4 linked regions of the Schizosaccharomyces pombe genome follow. Changing the gene in region 2 together with the main gene of any one other region gives a genetic interaction. Each region holds a gene or a part of one and is shown on either strand. Other genes may lie near its edges. The genes, in order: sty1, cyr1, gpa2 and git1.

What was found.
Region 1: of cyr1 (region 2) and sty1, a mutation in one rescues a mutant of the other (synthetic rescue), as found in Schizosaccharomyces pombe (2 studies listed by BioGRID, with this or other methods).
Region 3: of cyr1 (region 2) and gpa2, extra expression of one rescues a mutant of the other (dosage rescue), as found in Schizosaccharomyces pombe (2 studies listed by BioGRID).
Region 4: of cyr1 (region 2) and git1, extra expression of one rescues a mutant of the other (dosage rescue), as found in Schizosaccharomyces pombe (2 studies listed by BioGRID).

The regions. Positions count from the first base shown.
Region 1 is NC_003424.3:205,969-210,172, forward strand, and holds sty1 (MAP kinase Sty1), read right to left. Parts: upstream 2,169-4,204; 5' UTR 1,946-2,168; coding exon 896-1,945; 3' UTR 508-895; downstream 1-507. Other genes in the region: SPOM_SPAC24B11.07C (oxidoreductase), read right to left, coding at 3,378-4,204. UniProt on the Schizosaccharomyces pombe protein: Proline-directed serine/threonine-protein kinase involved in a signal transduction pathway that is activated by changes in the osmolarity of the extracellular environment. Controls osmotic regulation of transcription of target genes.
Region 2 is NC_003423.3:2,817,889-2,825,746, reverse strand, and holds cyr1 (adenylate cyclase), read right to left. Parts: upstream 5,946-7,858; 5' UTR 5,740-5,945; coding exon 661-5,739; 3' UTR 527-660; downstream 1-526. Other genes in the region: SPOM_SPBC19C7.04C (uncharacterized protein), read left to right, coding at 1-55; N-end-recognizing protein, UBR ubiquitin-protein ligase E3 Ubr1, read right to left, coding at 6,522-7,858. UniProt on the Schizosaccharomyces pombe protein: Acts in glucose-induced cAMP signaling by catalyzing the synthesis of the second messenger, cAMP to activate PKA signaling and repress sexual development and gluconeogenesis.
Region 3 is NC_003424.3:2,515,516-2,520,903, reverse strand, and holds gpa2 (heterotrimeric G protein alpha-2 subunit Gpa2), read left to right. Parts: upstream 1-1,664; 5' UTR 1,665-2,588; coding exon 2,589-2,709; intron 2,710-2,872; exon of another isoform or gene 2,873-3,114; coding exon 3,115-4,058; 3' UTR 4,059-4,851; downstream 4,852-5,388. Other genes in the region: SPOM_SPAC23H3.12C (hydrogen/potassium transport protein), read left to right, coding at 5,031-5,388. UniProt on the Schizosaccharomyces pombe protein: Alpha subunit of the heterotrimeric guanine nucleotide-binding protein (G protein) involved in glucose-induced cAMP signaling.
Region 4 is NC_003423.3:3,830,653-3,836,844, forward strand, and holds git1 (C2 domain protein Git1), read right to left. Parts: upstream 4,339-6,192; 5' UTR 3,842-4,338; coding exon 545-3,841; 3' UTR 533-544; downstream 1-532. Other genes in the region: splicing factor Cxr1, read right to left, coding at 5,191-6,192.

The sequences.
Region 1 (4,204 bases), on a different chromosome or scaffold from region 2:
TTAATCCCCTTTTTCATAGAACGGGAGATTTGTTGTCACTGTCAATCTCCTTTTTGTATTTATGTTGCTTCAAGCACGTCTGTTTTGAGCCCAATTTCTCTTTTAACGTTTTAGCCTCTCCTTTCTCCATCACCTCTAACTAGTTTTAATTGGAAAAATTATTTGTTCTTCCTTTTAATTATTTTTACGATACTGTTTATTCATAGCTCTTTTTTTGATTATGAAGATACACTTCGCATTTGCTAAGTTTTTATGTTTTATGAAGTAATTCCTAGATGACTATGATTTTTTTTAACGTTTTTAAGATTTTTATTTAACTTCATGTACACAAGATGTCCAAAATCTTGTTGTATAAATAATAAAAGTTAAAAATTAATAAATACACTACTTATTATAAAACCCGTAACTACATTAACGAACTTAAAAACTAAATCATACAGATTAGCATTATAAACCTAGATGGGTAACTATTATAATGGCTTTTTTTTTTTTTTTTTTTTTTTTTTTTCTTTCAAAAAGAGAAGTTCGGTGATTTATTCAACTTCTGAATTTGTAGTCAAAACAAGAAGAGGAAGGTATATATGTTCATTACTTGGAAAGAGGAAGTTGGAAATAATTTTCATGGGCCATCGCATTACCATATCCGAAAAAAAAGGATAAAAATTTGAATTTCAAAATATTTTAGAAAAGGAGTGGCGAGAAAAAACACCACACTTGAAAATCGCAATTGTAATTTATAATTAAACGGAGGATTAAAAACCCGATGACCATTAGAATAATAGAAAAGCCTAAAATTCCATGGAACCGAGATGATATAAATATGATACACGTGAACAAAATAGAGTAATCATAACATACCCCGAGAACAACTTTTAAGGCTTTATCTACAACTTGTTTAGGATTGCAGTTCATTATCCATGTTGTGAAACGACAAAACCTCGGAGTACATCATGACCTTCCAAGTCTCCACAGGTAAATCATTATCTTGGAATGACCAGTCAAAAACTTCATCAGCAACAGGCTCATCAGTAGGATCATGGTATGGAGCAAGATAGTTATGAGCCAAAGCATCAGCAGCACTAATACGCTTACGAGGATCAAAGACAAGCATTTTTTCTAACAGATCAATAGCATCTGGATCGGCGTTTTTGAACTTTTCAGCAAAAGGAACTTTCTCCTTTTGAGGCAATGATTGAACAAAGCGAAGTGTGTTTTTACTGCAAATCGTCTCAATTACTTCCATAGGCGGCGTTCCCAACAATTCCGTGATTATAGAAAACTGGTTAACGTGGTCTCGGCCGGGAAACAAGGGTTTTCCTTCAATCATCTCAGCAAAAATACAACCCGCACTCCAAATATCAACTTCGACGTTGTACTTTTGCCAAGTTAACATAATCTCAGGTGCACGGTAATAACGAGTAGAAACATAGCCCGTCATTTGAGGGTCTTGAATACGAGCCAAACCGAAATCGCAGATTTTTAAATCGCAATTTTCGTTAATTAAGATGTTACTGGGTTTCAGATCACGGTGAATAACACCGGCAGAATGAACAAACTTGAGCCCTCGCAAGATTTGGTATAAGAAGTATTGTATAAATTGCGTCTCTAAAGGTCGCGATGTAAGTAGTCTATGAAGATCTGTTCCCAGAAGCTCCGTGACAAAATAAATATCTTCAAAGGGAGAAATAAAAATATCGCTCAAGCTAATAATATTCTCATGCCTTAAATGCTTTAATAGTTTTAATTCCCGATAGGTACGTTTTGCCAGTACCGGAGTACTAAAGGGTTTCATAATTTTCTTAACAGCGACATTCATTCCAGTTAGCTGATCCTTCGCTGAACAAACGAGGCCAAAGGCGCCCATGCCAATCGGCTGTAAGTCGCTATATCTAGTGGTAATTTCAAAACATGTACCGAATATTTGTGTACGAATAAATTCTGCCATTTTATTCAAACTGGTTACAAAAAGGACTATTCAACAATAATCTCAAAAATTTAAGCGTCCTTCGTCTATATCGAAAAGTAACTTTCTCTTCTTTTTACAAGTTCCCAACAACGCTGCGAAGTGCCAAGCTTTATAATAATTACGATAACAATCGTCGGTATCGGACCTCGTATTCCGTTAAACAGATTGTGGTGTTTGCTTGTAATAAGCAATGAAGTGCTCTGGTTAAGTTGTGGTAAGGAGGTATGTAGCTGTGATTAAGTGCACACCGCACTACAGTGAACTTGCGCTTCAGCATCCAGAACCTCAAAGAATGAAGTTCCGCCGGTTTAACGATGTTTTTAAAATGTATTAAACAATTTAAAGTACTACTACTTTTGATAACAACTGACGACGATAAACACCAAAGTGACCACTCCTTCTACTCTTACCAAGGCTTTGTTGTCCAGATCTGAGATGGGTTAGTTGGTAAAGTTGTTAAGCCAGCTTTATTAGATCAACTTTTTTAGCTATTTGAGCTAGTATTCATTATTGAAATGTGTGTTTCAAGGAAAAAGTCTTGTAAGCTAACCCAATTTGTCTTTTGACAACAGTTACTGTTGAAAAACCCGTTCAATTATAGATCTGACATTTCATTTGATCCATAATGCTCGATTTCGTAGTTAATTTGCTTGTTTGCCTCTATTAGCCCAGCGTCCGCGTTTTGATTTCTTAGCGAGTTGTTAATATTATGGTTTCACGATTAGGCATTAATCGGGTCTGTACCTTCCACATTTTGGGACGAAATAACCAAGGATAATTAGGTGCAACAAGTCATTTTCCATTTCAATTTTCCTTTTACTTTATTAAAAAATTTTTAATTAAAAAAGTTTGGACAAATACCATTTAAAGTCTACGAGGAAATAGGACACAATACTACGTTAAATGTATGTTTCAATAAAAAATCAATTCAATAAAAGGACAAAAATTAAAAGAAGGGAAAATCGAAAAAAAAAAGAATGTGATGCCGAAATTACCATACGGCTCAGTGAGCAGATAGACTAAAGATACGTATTATATGGAATTCTTCGCCAAAGATACATGCAAAATGTAATAAAAGTTATATATATACATATATGATAGACTTATACCAAATTGCTTCCATGGCGGAGATAACCAAACGGGGTAAAAACAGAGTACTTTTAAAATATAGACCAGATTAAAAAGAATGAAATTATGCCTTCATAAATTTGATGCAAATGAACCCAATACGATGAGTGCTAACGCGTTATTCTTAGCGCAAATTGTTCGGAAGAAAATAAAAAAACATAACGTGATCCCCAAAAGAATGCTTAATAATGAGTCAGTAGAATTCAAATCAATAAAAGTTTAACACGACAATGCTTTTATAATGATAAAGGAATGAGGAAAACTGTGGCTCCGAAAGAGAGGTCTACGATTTCATGCGAGAAGTTCCACGAGCTAGCGGAAAGCGACGCATCGCATTAGGTATAACCGTCATTGACGATGTCTCAGAAGCCACAGAAGCTCGAGGTTCTACTCCCTTATTGTTGTTCATGAGAGTAAAATACGTTTCGGATTCACCACTGTCATCAGTTTCACCGTTTCGCGATTCCGCAGAATTAGAGTTGGAATTTGGTCTTGACAATACTTCATTTCCAAGTGATTGAGAAGACGAATTAGGATCACTTGGCGTACCAAATCTTGATGACTCAGGTGATATATTCTTGTGCGTATGCTCTTTAGCTTCAGGGGATAACACGTTTTTTCCACCACGAACAGGAGGTGAACCTCGAGGAGCAAAACGCGGATCAAAAGTTCGACCCAAGCCCTCATAATCACTCTTTAAAGACTGTTGCATTTGCATCAAAGAAGGAGAATACAAAGAACGTCTAGAGCGACGAGTTGTAAGAGACAACATATCCATATTGTCAGCAGTCATTGCTCGTCCTTTTGAAAGGGACGGAGCAGAAGGAATTCTGCCCATATTTGGCTTACCATTTTCGGGAACAGAATATGGGTGTAAAGGTGAATGTCGATCAGAAACGAAGGATGATGGATTAATAGGCCGCATATTAACCAAAACTTTGTTTTTCTTAGGTGAATTGTCCGTGGGCCCATGCATATCATTCATGTGATGTGGTTGAACGAGAGGAAGGTGTTGAATACTCGAAATTAATGCACTTATTGTTCGTAAACGAGGAACTTGGAGGGATTGTTTAGTAGCTAAATCAATACAATAATGTAAATACTGTACAA
Region 2 (7,858 bases):
TCAACGTCTCTCTCGACATCTTTCCAAGACATCTTCTCGTCATTCTAGGCTTTAGACTACTATTGTTGAAGCTCCGTCTTTTTCCTTATTTTTTTTCTATCTTTCATTTCTCAAGTTTTTTTATACCGGGCTGTCAAGTGTTTTGATTCCAATTTTGTTTATTTAGTATTTTTATTGCTTCATTCTTTCCAAATTTTTTTGCTGTATTTTTAGTTTAGTTACGATCTTACTCTTACGATTTCTTTTTCATTTTTCTTCTATTTTGCATTTTTTTTTATCTTTATTTGGGGTTTACATTGTTATCAAGTGTTATACCGAGTTTCCCCCATTGTGTTTTTTTACTCCTATACCATTTTGCATGAAAATTATTTTATTTCGTATTTCTTTAATACAATTTTTCTTTTTTTTTACTTTTGTATCAGTCTACTGTCGTTCCGTTGTTCAGTTTCTTATTGTTTACTAATAGTAAATAAAAGTTGATTTGCCTCGAAACACGTACGTTAATTTGGTATTCCATAATTCCAACTTTAGGGTATAGCAAAAAAAAAAAAAATTTTATTAAAAATATGCAAATTATATATACAAAAAATAAATATATATATATAAACTATTTATGGGGTTAAACATTATTTAAATATAGCAGTCATTATATGCATTCATTTAGCCAGTGTGTCCAAGCATTTGACTGACACAATAAATAGTATTCTCGATACGCAAAGTCAGACGGTAGAACAATGAATACTCCTCGGCCTGGTTTACGGGAGCTGCCAGACCGGTATCGCAAGGCGGTGGTTCAGGAAACCCATGCAGTATAGCGGCATGGTCTTCAAGACGCTCACAAAGTTCATAAAGTAATTGATACTGTTGGTCATCAAAAATACAACCTTCATATCCACCAGTACTCTCTGATGGTGATACGTTGCGCAAGGATGAAACCGATCTCTTCCCAGAACCACCCTCCTCTCCATGGACAGATTTTGAATCACTCAATCTTGCTAACATGGGTCGCAAGCTGTTGCTTCTACTACGAACGGGAGTATAAGTCTGAGTTTCCGGGAGGGCTGTGGGTGTTCCCAAACTTCGGCTCTTTATCAATCTCTCCAGTCTTCCTTGCAATTGCACAGGATAAACCAATGAAATCATTTCAGTAGTATCCAAACCTTTTAACTTAAATTCTCCAAGGTTATGGATAATATAACCGATTTGTTTAAGAGCACGAACTTCCATTTCGTTGACATTCGTCTTCTCTGATGACATTGTTTCTGAATCAAGCTGATTCAATACAGATACCACCTCAGCAGAAACAGCAATTTGACCACCATCAGCGACTGATACAACCCTAGATGTTCTGTTTACTACAGGCCCGTAATAGTCCATACGTCTAGTGATGGGATCTAGTTCACTCACGGTTACACCATAATTGACACCAATTCGAACACTAAGCCCTCGATATAACACCTCATTTTTTGAGCCGAGTACCAACCGTCCTTGCACTGACTCAACTATTTCGTTGGGCCAATCTGCCGAAAGTAACTGTAATTGTACTGAAAAACACCAAAGTAATGCAGCAGGAACTGTTTGAAAACAAACCATAAACGCATCTCCTTCGGTTTTTACTTCATAGCCTCCAGTTGCACGGAGTTGCCGACGCATAATAGTATTATGAGTTTTGATCGCAGATCTCATTGCAATAGGATGTCTTTCCCACAATAATGTGGAATTCTTAATATCAGTAAAAACCATGGCAATACAACCTTTCGGGGGAGAGACTTCTCTATTCATTCGTGCTAAAGAAGAATCATCGGGTAAATCTTGGACAAATGACATATTATCGTTCTTTTCAGAAATTGCTAAAGTTTTTTCATCCCCCCGTAGTTGGTTGAAATTAAGGGAATTCTCTTCAAACAATCCGTTCAATTCGACGATAACTACAAGAACATTTTTTTCTGCACCATATGCAATAGCATAGTCACGTAGCTTCGTAGAGGCTAATAGAGGAGAATGTCTGTTGGCACGAACAACGTCAATTACTGTGCGTTTTGATAATACGCTCCAAAATTCCTGATTTGCTAGAATGATAAATTCGTTTAGTTCAGATAAGTACTGCACATTAACATAGGGAACTGCTTGGACGCCAGGAAATTGAGACAAACGACCAATAGCACGTGTAGTGGTCGATTTTATTTCACCAGATATGAAACCACATGAATCAACTATGCGACGAATTTCATCCCTATTGTACACATCATGCATGACACTTAAAGTTGTAGGTTCCGAATCATTTCTCGTAGACATTATAGCCATTGATGTGCCCACATTGGCAACGAAAGCTCTTGTATCCCTGACGTACACTAAGATAATGCTAACTCCTATATCCAAGCAAGAACTGTCCATAGAATAACCCTTTTCTGAAATATTCATAGTGGTAACGTAATTACTATCCACGTCTCCTTCTGAAGACTTCCTAAGGTCATAATGAATGACATTTCCTAATTTTTTGTTTAAACGAAGAAATCCTCTTCTCAAAGCGTTACAAATTTGTTCAGAAGAGGAATCTGCTGCATTAATCTCATGCGCTAGGCATGAAGCCAAATTGTCGTACACAAATTTTAAAACCCGGTTGTTTTTTCCAGCGCTGATGTCACTGTCAAGCACACAGTATAAAGATGATTGAGGATGCAAAAAGTTGTTAACAACTAATTCACATGCAGAGATGACGGGAATAGAACGAGAAAGGTATCCACATACTCCATACCTCAAAATGTTAGGTTGAGGAGAGTTGCGTTGAATAAAATGGTTTAGAACATCAGAAGGCGCATTAGAAAATTTTGTATTCAAATCCATGATGCTCAAAAACTTTAAATTCTTCAAATATGATTTTGTAAAGTTTGTATCTTCATGCTCAGAGAATCGAAACCATGTGTTACCAGATAGATTAAGGTATTCCAATTGAGGAAGTTTAGTTAAACTCTTCTTTTCAGCTTTTTCTACTGCTAAATTCTGCAGATTATTGGTACTTATGTCCAAAAATCTTAAACTTTTAGACAAAGCTTCATTTTTAGGAAAAGAGGAAAGACGATTTCCATTCGCGTACAAAGTTTCAAGTAGGACCTGCGCTGTACTGGAAATGGAAAGATTTGCAAGCTCATTTCCTGACACAAAAAGGTGTTTAAGATCAGAAAAATTTTGGAAAAACTTGCTTGGAATTTCCGTTAAATAATTGTAAGATAAATTTAAGACTTTTAAACACTTAAAGTATTCTAAAGCCGTAAAACAGTCATTGCCCAATCTGTTGTCCACCAAGTATAATTCTTCAACGGTAGGCATAACAAATTCTTGGGAGGAGAGGCTCGATACCGGATTTCCTGATAAAGTACGCATGATTTTTAATTGGCTAATTGTCCTAGTTAATTTTTTTGACGTTGCAACTGGTAACTTGATTTTCTCCAGGATATTGGAAGACAGGTTAACAACTTTTAGTGAAGAGACTTGCCATACTTCCTCAGGGAATATTTTGATATTATTTGCATGTAAATCCAGGTGAACTAAATGCTTTAATTTGCCAAGGTTTGGTGAAACATAAGACATTTCACAGTTCGTGCAAGACAAATATTTCAAATTTTGCATAGCAGAAATTGCATCGGAAATGCTAGTAAAGTGGTTGTAATTCACTTTCACTGTTTCTACATTTACTAAAGTTTCAATGACAGAATCCTTGAGCCCAATAAGCTTCGCATGTGAGATATCAAAGTAGACGAGATTGCTATAGCTAAATGCCGGATCAATTGTAGTCAGTGGACAAAACGAGAAGTCGATGAATGTAGCTGACGGATTGGAATATTCGTAAAAAGAAAGTAAATTGCAAGCTACATTGATGCTATTTAGTTTCGGACATTCAGATAAACTGGCGATGTTAGTAATCGCATTATAACTAAGGTCAATTGTTTCCAGATTTTTTAGCAAGCCTATTTCCTGTGGAAGCCGATTAGATAAATCATTAAATTGTAGATATAGATGCTTCAATTTAACAAGAGAGCCAATTTTGCTAGATATCTGTGACAATAAATTATGCGAAAAGTTAAGAGTCTCCAATTGGGACAACTCAGTAATTATTAAAGGGAAAGTCACAAAATTATTGTAGGATAAATCAAGATAGGTTAGATTCACCAAATATCTAGTAGAATGGGGAAGGAAGAACAGCTTATTATTAGCTATATTCAATTCTTTCAGAGAATTTCGACTAAGCCCAGAGAATATAAGAGGATCCAATTCATATATATCGTTACGAGACATGTTCAAAACTTCCAATTGGCGAAGAGCAGTAATCGGTTTTCCTCTTGGAGACCTTAAATTATTGGAAATGTCTAACCGCTTAAGCTTGACACAGCGCTCCATGAAATCTAAAGGCAGGTCCAGCGATAAATTGTGCGAAACATTCAACGAGATAAGTTCATGGGCATAGGGATAGATCTTTACCGGAATAACCTCCAGGTTTGACCTACTAATGTCAAGGTTCGCAGTAATTTTTTTTTCAGAGAATTTACGCAATACATCCGCTCCAATATCCATCGTAGTAAACACCAATCTAGCAACACTATAATTATCTTCTTCATTTATTTCTTCATCGGAAGTTACCTTACACCCAAACAAACTCAATAATCGTTCAAATATAATGCATGGCTGTTCATGAGGCAACAAAATACGTTCTGTATTGAATTGGATTAATAAGAGGTAAAAATTAGCAGACGAGGGAAGAAAAAATAACCTTGCTAACAGCTTAATCACTTCATGAGTTTGTATGCCAATAGGGCAAATGAATGATACGGAAGTTCGATCATCACGGTATACTCGAAGAAAGAACTCTTTCTTTCTATTGCCCAGGGAAGGACGAGCAAAAAATCTAGTAGTAAAAACCTGCTTTGGAATAGCCTCAGTGGGCAAACTAGTTCCCCAACTCTCCGGAGCTTTCCAAGAATCATCGGATAAAATGGAAGGGTACGGTAAAAACTTCTTCCAAGGGCTATCATAACTATCTCTATGATAATCGAGGTCCAGGATATGAGCCGCAGAAGCAGGGATTCCATCATCATCACTATTCCTGGGTAATTCGTGTATGCTACCTTCCAAACTAGCTGGCCAATTGTTATTAAGAGAATCACGTTGAAACTCCACACTGTCACTGTCATCAGAAATCGGTTCTGGAAAAGTTAGATTGGTAAATGACTGATTCAGGTTTTTGTCGAAAGATTCTCTGTCCTTATCAATAAGTCTTCGAAGGCCTGCTTCTTTAGAAATTGCACAATTAGACGAGTTATTTTCTTTGTATGGCTTTATCCCAGCACTACGGGTATCACGTGGCACTTCAGACTTTTCAGAGCTTTCTCTTGCAGCTAAGGCGGTATCCGATTTAGTACGTCCCGTGTCAGATAAGCTAAAGTTCTCATCCGGTTCATAAAAATGGAAAAGCACGCTTTTGCTAGGTACTGCAGGAGTGCTAGGATAGGTCTTAAAAGCTTCGACAGGTCGTCCAGAATTACCGACAGGTTGAGTGCAAGGTGAAAGAGCTTCATGGGAGTCATTACAGAGATTTGCTTCGGTTATTTCTGGTATATCATAGTTCACAGACGTCGCTGAGTCATCGTCCTTCTCGTCAAGGTCATCAAGCCAGGATATACCTGTTTTAAAATGTTCAGGCGGGTTTGGAACAGCTGACTTTAACAATCGCTTGCTTTGATCCATTAGTGGCAATTTGCATCCTTCCTAAGAATCTGTAGCACCTTCGTTTCAAAAATACCACTATACGCGAATTTTGGACAAGGAAAATTCAATAATGGTTATATCCCTATCCAAGGAAGGAATATTGAATTTATAGAACTAGTATTTGCTCTATTATCCTAGTTCCAACACCAGCGTTTCTTTGTCTGATTATATCACTTGTTAGGTTTAGAACAAGAAAGGGTTTGGGTTCCAACACCTCATGTATCTTCCTAACTCTAAACTATATTCCAGAGTGGTAATTTCCAACACTATGTGTTCTCAGTGAATTAGTGAGGAAGAAACTGTAAGGCGCGTTCGAATACTGCGTACGTCACTATTTCATCGATTTGTAAACAAATCTACTGAATATACTAGATGAAGGCGGTCTTGAATTAATTACTATGATTTTTTTATTTTTTTTTTTGAAGGCTTTCCATTACTCCTTCCATTAATTAACATTGGATTTGACTGATGAGTTAAAAAAGCTTCTTTTATCAAAGTTTCAAACTGAGTTTTAAAGTATTCATGAAACTTTCATCTAATTTTATCCTTAAATGATACTCGCCCCTTAAATATAAGGGCAATACGATTGACTGTTTGAATGAGACGAAATGTTTGTAAAGTAACCTATATTTACAGGTCAATGAATATGAATTAAATGATAAAATGTCAAGTTTTGGTATATATATCCTAATAAATAATCAAGGTGTTTGAAGCATTAAAAAAATTAGTAGCTTAGATCACGTAAACTCCCATTGTTTAGCCTAAAGTGTTTCCCAACCTCCGGTGTCTGGATTCGCATCCAGTTGTCGAGCAATATAAGAAGGAATAGATCCGTTTAGCCACATCGTTCGTACTGTTTCATCATAACGTTTTTGTGATAGATATTGAGAGCGGCCACGACGCAATCCCAAATCTGTCTCTCCATACGCATCCAAAAATGGAGCTACAGAGAAGCTTCCTACAGGTGGATTGAGGTAGAGAATAGCGCATTTTTTGACAATAAGAAAAATTCCAATGTCAGAAGCGCATTGTTGCATATGAAGATTACATTCTCCAATACCATTAAAGGAACAACAATGACTTTGGAAGCATAAGAGCTTCCCACAAAATAAACATATCGCTGGTTCCATAGGTTCAGTTAAACATTTCGAGCATCGCCTGGCCAATAGTAACTCAAAGACTTTATCCAATTCATACGGTAAAGAAACTAGTTCATAAATTCCAGGGTAATAAGCGCGAGGAAAATCGCATAGAGGACCAGTCTCTGTAAAGAAATTACACCAGTGCTTTATAAGGCTCCATTCTGTGGAAGATGCCGTAAGACAAAGATGATTAGATAATTCAATAACACCTGGAATATGCATTTTTGTTTGTAAACGTGATAATTCTGAATTTTGAAAGTTTAAATTCGGTTGCGTCTCAAATGAAACTCCATAGCGGCAATACCAAAGCAAAGCACATTTTCGAAGGAAGATTAGAGAAAACCTTTCCAATAGTTTATACAGTGTAAACAAAAGATGAGGATTATTTAGATCATCCTCCGTACAACAATCAAAATTGATTAATCCTGCTCCGTCGACACGAAGACTTTTCCAAATTTGGATAACTAAGTGCTCAAACCCCTTTAGCTGCTCATAGTCAAAGGCTTCAAATTCAACTGATTCCATACATTTCAGTAAAGAGTTTCTTTGTGACAAAAGAATCCATAAGTTTCGAACTATATCGGCAGTATAGTATAATTGCGTCAAGTAGTGAAACGATTCGTCACATGATAATAAACCAGAGACACTGGCTTCGGCGAATTCTCGAAATGTATCCTTCACAAGTAACGGCTCAACTCTATCATCAGTAATAGATTTGGTAACCGGTGAATCTAGAGAGGGCAATAGTCGCCCAAATATCCTTTTTTGTTGGCAGAAACTAATAAATTCAAACTCTTGAATTGAACCCCCAATACGCTTCTGTGAATCATGTGCACATAACAAAGTATAAGTTTTGATAGATTCAGATAAAATCCTTAAAAAAACTTGCTGATTTTTTCCAAGATTATGCACCCAAATATCCGCTGGAATACTTGAACATTTTATGTGTCCTCTAG
Region 3 (5,388 bases), on a different chromosome or scaffold from region 2:
ATTCAATTATTTTCTTATAATAATTTTTTGAATTAAATTAACATAGTTTTATTTTAAACTGGGAAGCGCATCTTGCTCATAATTCAAATTATTGCCCTAAAACCAACATGAAACAGATCCGGCAAACTAGTTTCCACAATATATCGGGATATATCAAGATATGCAAGATATATAAGATACACATATATAAGAGATATAAGATACATATTCAATAATTGTCAAGGATACCTATAATCAAGCAAAAATTAAACTTACGCAAATAAGAATTTCATCTTTATAAAAAAAAAAAAACCATCAAAAAACAAAACAATATAAAAACCCTCCCACTACATGTGAATATCTTGGAAGACTTTTTTTTATAACTAGTACATGCTTTTATTAGTATGTAATGAATAAATGAACGAACAACAACGGATTGACTTCAGTACCACATAAACATTACGAAACCTAGCTAATTCTATCTCACCTGAAGATTATTTTATTTTAGCGGGGCAAATGCAGTCCTTCCCGAACCTCCAAGACTAAGTAACCAGCAAGTAACGGCATCAGGATATCTTACCATTCTTACCCATTAAATTTAAGGAACCGAATGAAATTAGGAACGATGAGCAGTTTAACAAAGTCCTCCTTATTTTTTTTGCGTTGAAATGTAGTTTGTAGTGTCAAGCTGCTTTGTGCTATTTATCGAGCAATGAGAAATAGGAGAGGAGTTATGGTAGCAGGGTATACTTAGTAATGTTTTCATGGACCAAGCGGGGGAGGGGCGAAAAGCATGTCTAGTTCGCTGTATTCAGTTTCAAGACCCCATTTCATGTTTAACATTTGTTCTAGATACGCAAAAATCCCTTTTTTCTAGATTGTTTGCAAGTCCCCATGTCTTCTTTTTTTTATACAGCTGAAAAATTTTCCGACTGTCAGGTAAAACTGGTCAGTTGCGAAAACATGCTTTGCTTCATCTTGGTACCCAATCGTCTATGGATTTTTTATATGTTTCTTTCTAGCTTTGTGATAGCTGCCCACGCTTTGCGATCAAGTTAGTTGCCTTATCCCTTGTGCACTTTACTTTCATATCTGAGTAAATAAGTCTCCGTAACTGGAATTGAACTTGGTAAAATTGGGGCTTGAAAATTTAAAATATTATGAAAGTGAACAAACTCAGATTGGGAAAACACTCATTAAACATTGCTTGGAAAGATTGCGCGTTTTTTGGAACACTTCCTTTGGTCATCTTTGCTATCCCGATTGCTTGCATCTTCAGCCATAAACAAGGGACGACTCATTGAGTTACTAGAGTAGTAATAGAGCAGTATAGTTTAGTAGTATAGAAATGCTGGACCAACCAGTTAATGACATATAAACATAAAACATAAAAAACTATTTTGATGAGCGGCGCTTCTCTATGCGATACTTACATAGAATGCAAAGCTCACACAGGTCTCAGCTTACTGCCTGCTCCCCTCGCCCAAGGTCATAATCGAAGAGTAAGACTTACACTCCAATCTTCTTTACTTGAATGATGCTTGTTTGGTGGTATGTGTTGGATCCTTTTCCAATGTTACATTTTCCGAACTGTCCTCTCTACCCCACTCGAAAAATTAAAATCGTAAATGGATGATGCATGACGTAGTGCCTCATAAATACAAATTATACCAGAGTTGCCGTCTGTCTTTTTCGAAATAGTATAGACGAAATCACCGCTCAGGTACCAATCTAACCATAGTTGTTAGCTACTTAAGCTGTTTGAAGCATCAAAACGCTTGCCCTTTTGCTGCTGCTTGTTGGATTTAGGGTAGTGTGAATTGAAAGTAAGGATTTAATTGTACACTCGGTTAGTTGGACAGTAGTAAGAATTGAGATATTTTGCCTCTAATTCTTCTTTCTTCCTTGTACAATTCTTAATTTTTTTCTCGTTCATCGAAAGACGACGAGAAATCAATTTTCACGAGTTTCTCATTTGTCGCTGCATCTCTTCAACTGATTTCAGCCTTTTCTTCTTGCCTTAATCAACCTTGGTATTCACTCGTACTCACTGTGTCAATTAGCTAGCCGGCTAGCTTCCGACCTGCGATCCTTCCTCATTCTCCTCCACCCCCTGCTTTTCGAGGCATCTGGTGAAACTCAAAAAAAAGTTGAAATTGCGATTTAAAGGTCGCCCATAAAGGGGGTTAATCAAACTTTGCGCGTATAGTTTAGTGACTGACTAATCAATATTTTGATTATTGATTCCTATTCTGTAATATCCCCTTTTGACACCCGCACCCTTGTTCCTACTTAATCATACTTGCTACCTCAACTTTTTTTTTAATACTTTTATTTATTTGCGTTTCACTTTTCTTTCTAACTTGCTCTCTTTCCATTTTATTATTTAATCTTTGCTTTAATTGGGAAAAGAACTGGATTGAAGGCTTTTCTTGGAAAGTCCTCGCCTCTCTGCTGCTACACCTTACCTACCTGCGTTTAACCTTCTTACTTTGTTTCATATTTATTTCTCCCATCTTATCCCAAAAACCCGCTAGCTGTCGGATTGAGAAGTTTGGTGTCCTACTACATCCCCGTATTTATATTCTGCAGTAGTGGATTAAAAAAAAATGACGATTTTTAATGGATTATCTGAAAGCGGTGAATCAAAAAAATTGAACAGCAAAATCGAAAAGCAGATTGAAAATGCCTCGAAGAAGGATAAAAAGATTTACAAAGTGTTGCTTTTAGGTACGTAAACTACTCAATGTTGTTGTTGTTGTTCAATAGTTATATATGCTTGGGCAGTCGAGCAAAAAAGCAGAAAAGATTGAGAAAAAAAATAAAGAAACGAAATGAGTGAAACTATTTACGAAACAGAGAAACTGTTTAAGAAATGACAGAAAATGGTTTGTCTAATTGCGTCTACGTTCTCTACTCTTGGTTACCCTTTCCCTTCAATACTCAGTCAGTGAAGGTGACTTTGATAACGTTCTTCTAGTTAACCACTTTTCGTCGTCGTTGCATGTTGTAATCAGTTGCTCTACACTCTTACCGTTTCTCTCCATTGCATAGCACAGATTTTTTGTTTGATTCCTATAGCAAATTTTCCTTCCTTTGTTTCTTACAATCGTCAGTCTAACCATTGTTTTCTAGGTGCCTCCGATAGTGGAAAAAGTACCATCAGTAAGCAAATCAAAATTCTCAACAAAAATGGGTTTAGTCAAGAAGAGATTATGACATTTATTCCGGTGATCCGACGAAACCTGTTGGAATCTGCTAAAACCCTTGTTAAAATTATCGTTCAAAAAGGTATCAACTTGGACCCTTTAGGAACCCACAATTGCGAGATAATCGAAAAATTTAATCCAACTCCTGGTGAGCTTATTAATGCTAATATTGGCCAAGCTATTACTAGTCTTTGGTCAGCCAATAGTGTTAGATCCTGTACATATGGAAATGATTCCGTACTCATTGACTCTGCCCCTTACTTTTTTTCGCGAGCCGATGAAATTTGCAGTCGGCATTATGTCCCTACAATAGATGACATTCTCCGGTCTAGAAATAGTACTCTGGGTATTTCGGAAATATCGTTCACATTGGATCATTTGCAAATTCGAATGTTCGACGTTGGTGGTCAAAGAACCGAACGAAGGAAATGGATTTATTGTTTTGAAAATGTGAATTCAATCATATTTTGTGTTTCCTTAAATGATTATGATAAAAAGCTTTATGAAAGAGCCGCCCCAGAACGCAATCGTTTGGTTGAAAGTATTTCTTTATTCGACTCTATTATAAACAGTCAGTGGTTTATGCATTCTTCTATCATTCTGTTTTTGAACAAATTTGATTTGTTTCGGAAGAAACTGGAACATGTTCCGTTCCAGGATTACTTCCCCCAATATGAAGGTAAAAATTCTGTTAAAAGTATTACCCGGTATATTCTTTGGTTATTTGTGAACCCTTCTATAAATCGGGCTAAGCATAATATATATCCTCACATTACCACCGCTGTAGACACATCTAACATAAAGGTTGTCTTTTCTGCCGTTAAGGAAACAATTCTACAACACAGTCTGAAAGAAGCGGGAATGTTTTAATTTTAATTTGAAGATAAAATTTACCCTACCATTATTCATATGTTAACAGAAGACCTCTTACTGTCTGCATATGTCTAGAGAGTTCTGAAGCCTCCTTGTAAGAATCGCTTCTTTTACATTCGTTTATTTTTTTTTTTTAATATTGTCCGGAGTTTATTACACATGTTCTTTAAAAATATTTTTCCAATATATACATTGGCTGCTGGAATCTGAAATCACCGATTTGTCTGTAAGGAAAAGGATCGATCTCCTTTTCAGTTGTCTCAGAACGTTCACAGATTGCTATTAAATAATCTCTTTAAGATGACCAAGTTATACAGTTCTAGTTGATATAAATATTTTGTCATTTTTGCGAATATCAATTTGCATTTAATTTTTTACTTTAAACGATGCTGCTGGCGAATGCTTTTAAAGTTATTGAATACTTTCTGTTGAACATAGTCTTAAGATTGAGAAAGTAGATCTCCAGTTTTGATTCGAACATCTATCTCTGCTTTCAGAACTATTGCTATCACTTAATGCTGCTATTTATGAGGGTCGTAGAAAATCCGTTTGAGTACTAAGAGACTTTGAGTGGATACATGATTTAATCGCTTTTGTTTTAGTATTTAGTTTTTAATTGTTAGACTACTTGTATAGACTATTTCACTGAATCATCAAAATTGTTGTCTCTCTTTGTTGGCACCAGAGACTGATACTTTTTACCGACTTTCAGTATCTTTTCTTTAATATATTAATTTACTAATCAAAAAAGCTATTGAACACGTGTATTTCTGCCATGTATAATAAAAAGCCGCACTGTTCTGTATACGTATCAATTTGATTAAATTAGATAGTAATACTACTACATAGATATTCGTTACCCACTTTTAGCTTCTACTTTAGTATATCCACCCATCTTTGTGTTACTGCAGGTTTATTTATTTCAATATTTATTTTGTAAAAACAATTAAGTACATTCGTTAACTAATTATGAGAATTATTGCACTTCCTTTGCCAAATCAAAGGGTATTCTTACATTGTTATCCTTCTGAATACCTTGCCAAAAAAGTTACTATTCACGACAAAATTATAAACAGAATTTACAAGTATTGGGACTCCTGGAGTGCTTCAAAAAGCTATACCAAACAAAAGGTTGTGTCTTTGGGAAACCGAATTTTGCATGCAACTCCTTATGAAGAAAATTTTTTAAGGGCGATTGCTCCTGTTAAGAAGCTAAATGATACAGAATTACACCAAACTTTGTATATTGAACATCCTCCAAATTTGGAATCAAGTACTATTTTAGCTGAGTTGAATCGGTCCAAACAATTACAAAAGACCCATACAA
Region 4 (6,192 bases), 1.0 Mb from region 2:
ATTTTTGGAATCCTTTCCCGTTCCTTTGGTAATTATTCGACTTTAATCTCCTATTGCCTCTGACATTGAGTCAAGGGTTAATGTTTGTGTCTTATCTAAGGGACTTAAAGGCATTTGTTATGTTTATGTATGATTATAACTTGCTTTTATGGTTTGGACGTTCTAAAGGCTGTGCGGTTATGTGTATGCTTTACGTTAAAAAAAATCTGTTTTTGTTTACATAGAAATGTATTTATGACTTTTGTTGTAACCTGTTGTTATGGTTGTATGGTGTGTTTCATTTTTGTAGAAAATGCGTAATCATCGTAAGCATAACTTAATTTTTAGCTTTCAGCATTATTCTTGTGTACAATGCAGTGTTATAAGCTAGCTGCTTAATAAATAATTTCAGCCTAGCAACTAATACACGCGACTTTATGATAGACGTATGACATACATATTTGTATATATATAAAATAAATTAGCAACTGTGCTCATTAAATTAAAAGTATCGTTCAGTAAATTAATAAACATTAATAGAAGTCTCCATCATTACCGTAGTTAACTAACTACTCACTCTTTTGACATCCTTAGACTTTACAAAATAATAGTCTTTAATAGCCATCACACTTTTGTACTCATCGGTATTCAAAAAATCAAATGGCGCAATATCTTGAAAATTCCGAAAAAAATCGTAAAACAATTGTAACCACGAATAGACCATTTTGAGTTCACGCTTATTCAACGGAATTCTCCTTAGGGTAGAATCTGTGACTGGAGGCACTAAAATATCTCGAAATGTCTCCAACAAGCCAAACCAAAGCCGCGAAAGCAAGTAAAAAAGAGGTTTCGGGAGCAAGTTTACATAAATCCAATAAAAAAAATCATCTAGCTCTGCCAACAATGACTGCTGCTCTTTTTCACACCGGGCCTGCAACTCGTCCATCTTTTCTTTAGTCTCAGCCTCTGCGTTATCATTTTCGTCTCCATCAAGATAACGCACGAAATCCATTAACCCACTATTTCTTAAGGAATTTCGAATAAATTTACTTAGAGAAATCATCAGTACATTTAGCATTTTTACTTCAGTAACGGTAAGGTATTCCATTTGGGCAAAGCAGTAATAATTTGGTGTTTCCCTCTTCAAGAGCACACGCAACCCAATCAAAATTTGTCCCTTATTAGTGATATCAAGCCAAACATCTTTTCCGTGGCCTTGCTTAAGTTTGTCGGGATCAACTTCTAGTGTTGCATGACCATATACAGTCTCCAATCCAGTGTGTATATTCCTCTGATATATAATTAATTTAAAACGCTTTACGTTTGTAATCTCCATCTGATACGTTTCTTTCCAATTGGGAACTAGCTCGTCATAAACATCTCGAGTATGTACACAAAATTCCGACTCAGGATCTTGGAGCAAAACAGAGAATGAATATGGGGCCTTTGGGGTTACCAAAAGATGGGCCATCTTAATGGAAATTATAACAGTCGCAGATGGTACTTCCATATCTTTAAAGTGCATTACCTTCTCTGTCAATATTTTATAATCAATCCTTTGATGCAGCATTTTTAACCAACCACTCACTAAACTGACGGTATTGATTAGGGTGAATGATTCCCTATACAGCTTCAAAAAATTTGGGTCCCCAGAATGTCTTTTAAAATGACTAGCTTTTTCTTTAAGCTGCTTCACCGGAAGATCAGGAACTAAAGGTTCTGCTTTCAATGGTATATCGGTACTATAAATAAACAATGCATACATGCTGTCAACGTAGTAATGAATGTAGTTTTCACTAAGTTTTCCAAGATGCAAATAAAAACGATTTGCATCTTTGGAACTTGGCCAATCTATTTTCTGCAGAAAATCATAACAGTCCTGCAAAGGAGCAAGAATCATTTTAGTTGAATCTGAATAAAATCTGGATCTCTTAGGAATGAAAGACTCTCTTAGGACTGTTTGCAACACATTAGCCAAGCCCTTGTCGATTATCAGCGACAAATTTCTATATACAAAGGTACCGCTAAAAGCTTCATAAATTTTCGGGTAGTCCGACGATAGGTATCCGGTGCAAGCCACTAAAGCGCGAGTTTGCTGGTATAGAGCATTGATCATTTCAAGGATATGATCTGGAATTTCTTTGCAATTTGAGTATACATAAGTTTTGGTAATGGTAGGTAATTTCTCAAGAAACAAGTGACATGTTGCTTCTGCAAAAAATGAGTGAACCGAAAGCTGGTTAAATATTCTAGCACTAAAATTCGACTTCAAGTTTTCGTAAGTGGCTTGCAATTGGACACCCACTAATCGAAGCCCTTCGAGATCTGATTCAGGCTTCCCAGTCAGTTCTTTCTTCAGTAGATTCTGGAAAAACTCCCCATATTTTTCTTTCAGTTTTTTAAAAAAGTCGGTGTATTGCTCTTCTAGTTCTTCAGGGGTTACCAGAAAAAGCGGACATGAAAAGATGTAATTATTAAGGATATCAAGGATAGCTCGGCAAGAATCACTAGAACGAGGACAGCTCCCCAATTCTTCTACTAAGTCATTTAAAGCTCTTCTATGATAAAACGCCAATAACTCCGAAAATTGGTGTTCGTCATGGACTGACCAAATCGCATAATCACAATCATGAATTAAAGAAAAGAAGTATTCAAAAATATCTCCAAGGTCCGAAAACTTTAGGAGTTTATCCTCAAGATAAGGCCAATATATACTTAAGACCACGCAACAACATGTTCCAGGATGAATACGCCAAATGTTGATGAAACTTGTAGTCATGCTCCATAAAACGTTGGTACCAATTTCATTACTTTGGCTATAACAATAACGTAAGCACAAATCCATTAAACGATAAAAGTATGGAGCACAATCATCAGGTCTCAAAGTATATTTATTGGTATTCAAAATCGCAGATAGAAGATCATTGTTTCCCTCGGCATATTGTAGTTCTTCAAAAAGGACAGCCAAATCAGGATAGTTTTGAAAAATTTTACTAATAGCATTTTCTGAGTAATAACACTCCCTTTCAACGTATTTGTCGAACACAGCTTTTGATGAGAAATCGTCACTTCTTAATACAGAATTGTCGTTAATTGCCCTATACTTTGATAACTGAAAATCAGCAACGGCGGCAAAGGATATATTTTCCGGAAGTAGATCCTCGACACTTAGAATGAAGGCATTGTAGTTAGGGATATTAAATACACCACATAAAACTTTTACATAGCTGATTAGCGAAAAGTCACCTAAAAGAAAAAGATGTTTGCTAAGAGTACACTGCTCTTCGAATTCTGGCCAAGTATCAGCTAGGGTGGAAAGAAATTTCGTTGTAATATCAGCCTCAACGCCTGTTAAGGATTCATGAGCATAATCGGATAATGTATAAAATAACCACTGCGAAGATTTGATAATTAGTGATATGGACGTAAATTCAACGGAAAAGTGGTGACTACAAAGGAGGTCAAACAAGGATAGTAAAAAACTATCAAGGGACTGGTGCTGCTTAAAAAGCCTGATCTCGTCTTCTGAGCAGTTTGAAAATCGGCATAAAAATGAGCTGATAGATATTTGAAAAAATAAAGTATGCGTATCTATGTAGCTCGAAGCTATCTTAGCAAAAGGGTGCCTGGGTAGCTGTTCACAAACATAATTGAAAAAAGACGGGGGAAGATCTATCGAAGGAATATTTCTTTCATGACACTGAATAATGGCAATACTTAAAAGCTCCTTGATTTGATCCAAAAGCGCATTTTCACGCTCAATTTGCTTAGCATTTCTGCGACTGCGTAATGTCGATAATAAAAATATAGCTCTGGCAGTCCAATCAAAAAAATCTGGGGGTTCAACACTAGTGAATCCCATTTTAAGCCTTTCCGATTTGCTGAGTAGAGAGTGCAAAAACCTGGTGTTCGGAATGTATGAAGGTGTTATTTAATGGATGAAGGTAAAAATAGCGATAGGTGATGGTTTATGTTGTCTGCTTCTTTGGATCGGTGAGTAAATTATTTAGTAGATCAAAATTCATTTATAAGCTGGATTTCAATAATGTGTACACAATTATGTTAATGATCGTTCCAGGTCTAGAGATTAAAACTTTTTCACAGGTTAAAAAATAAAAAATAAAATTAATTATAAGAATTGTCGCTTTCCAGAGTCTTATTTAAGAGTATCGAGCCAGGTTAATAAAGTGTAACGTCAAAGGTTGAATACTAATCACAGCGTTGACAAAGTATATAAACGCACGAGTTAAGCCCGTTTATACTTAATCGCAAAACTGAATTTGATGATGTATTCGTATTAATGGGAAAGGCTACGATTTAAAAAGATTTTGAGCCTATACTATAAGTGCGTTTTCTGTCAGTTGTTTATTGCGACAGTCGCCCCCCTGGCGTAGTAGAAGTTGCAAGTCGCGTTGTTACTCTGTAAACAAGAGCTTTAAAAATGGAGTAGATTTAAATGGATGAAAAGTTAATAATAGATTTTAATTGAATGGATTTTTCGATAAATAGGGAGTATCATTCAAATAAAATTGAATTTAGAGGCGGTTGATTTTTGGTTGAATGAAATGTTTTGAAAATGGCGCTGATCATTTAACTAAACTCATACCTAAAAGAACGAATGATTAAACCAGAAGCAACTTAAAAGTTGTTTATCAATGGGAAATCTCAATAAGCACTTACATACCTTGCCTAAACTGCATTCTCCAGCGACCTAAAAATCTCAGTGCGATAATTCTGAAGTCCATCATTACTATTAAATTTAATCTTTTATATACGTCGTATGAAAACCTTTTTCTTGACTATAAAAATCATGACAAATGAAAATTTCGGCTAAAAAAACGTAGCATTTCATATCATAAACAGGGAGAGATGAATATAAAAACCGTCAATCCTTAGAAAGGAAACGTAATGAAGCTATGTCCAACAAAAATTTAGTTCAAGCTTTTCTTCGATAATTCGAATTCATGAACACATGTAAAATGCTTATTAATCAATTATGCTAAGGGACTCTCTTGATTTAACGTCCAAAATAACAGATAGAGTTTACAAGAACTCTCACGTTTCTCGAAACAATAATTCTCCGTGATTCATTATGAACATCAAACTTATTAGAATAGATGGAAAATTATTCATACTTTATAAAAACCAAGAATGATGATAAAAAGTATGAGACATGCCATTATAAAAAATTCAATCGCAAGTACTTTTACATTACTCTTCAGCTGATAAATGCTTTCCTTGTGTGTTAGGAACAGGCATGGTATCAGAGTTGCCGTTTTCAGGAATATGCATTTGATCAGGTACGAGGGCAGGAGATCCAATCGAAATTTCCATGCCAATCGGTGCACCCCTCGTTTGCAGGGCTAAGGGGGAAGGTGCAACAGCCGGATATGGACTAAACTGAGCCTGGGGTGGTAAACTCATTGCCGGAAATAATGAGGTAGCAGGAATAGTAGTTTGTGAAACCTGAGACTGATAATTCAAGGCAGGAGCCGCAATTGGATTCTGATTCCTTCCCCAAGATAATCGGATACGAGAATTGCCCAAAGGATAACCCTGCAACTGATTGATAGCAATTTCAGCAGACTGTCGGTTGACAAATTGCACAAATCCACAACCTTTTCCAGGTGGAATTTTGACATAAACAATTTCTCCAAAATTTTGAAAAAGATACTTAAGCTCCTCTTCAGAAACAAATTTTGAGAGACCGCCAACAAATACGGTTGAGTTTGCTGTGTCAGCAAACTGAGGAACAGGCTGTGCAGCACTATAAAATCCAACTGGTGGCATACTAACAGGTACAACGTTCACAGGACTAAAAACATGAGCCTTACTTTTAGGAGTGGCTAATCCCACCCGAATAGGACGATCACCACAAATTTGACCCTGCATTTCTGCCAATGCAGATTTCTGATCATTTTCGTCCGTAAAACGGACAAAACCATATCCTCTTGACACATTTGTTTGAGGATCAGTCATGATTTTGGCCGACTTGCATGAGTTATATCGAGATGCGAAGAGAGAATACACATCAAACTCATTGACATTGGGTGACAAGTCTCCCACAAATATGGAATATTCTGAGGCCTTTGAAATAGACTTTTCACGTAATCCGCCTCCAGAGGCCCAATTAAGTTTAAACAAATGATTTGTACCAGGAATTGGTTTGTTGTTCATACTCATCGCGCTTGAAGCTTCATGAGGAGATGCGAA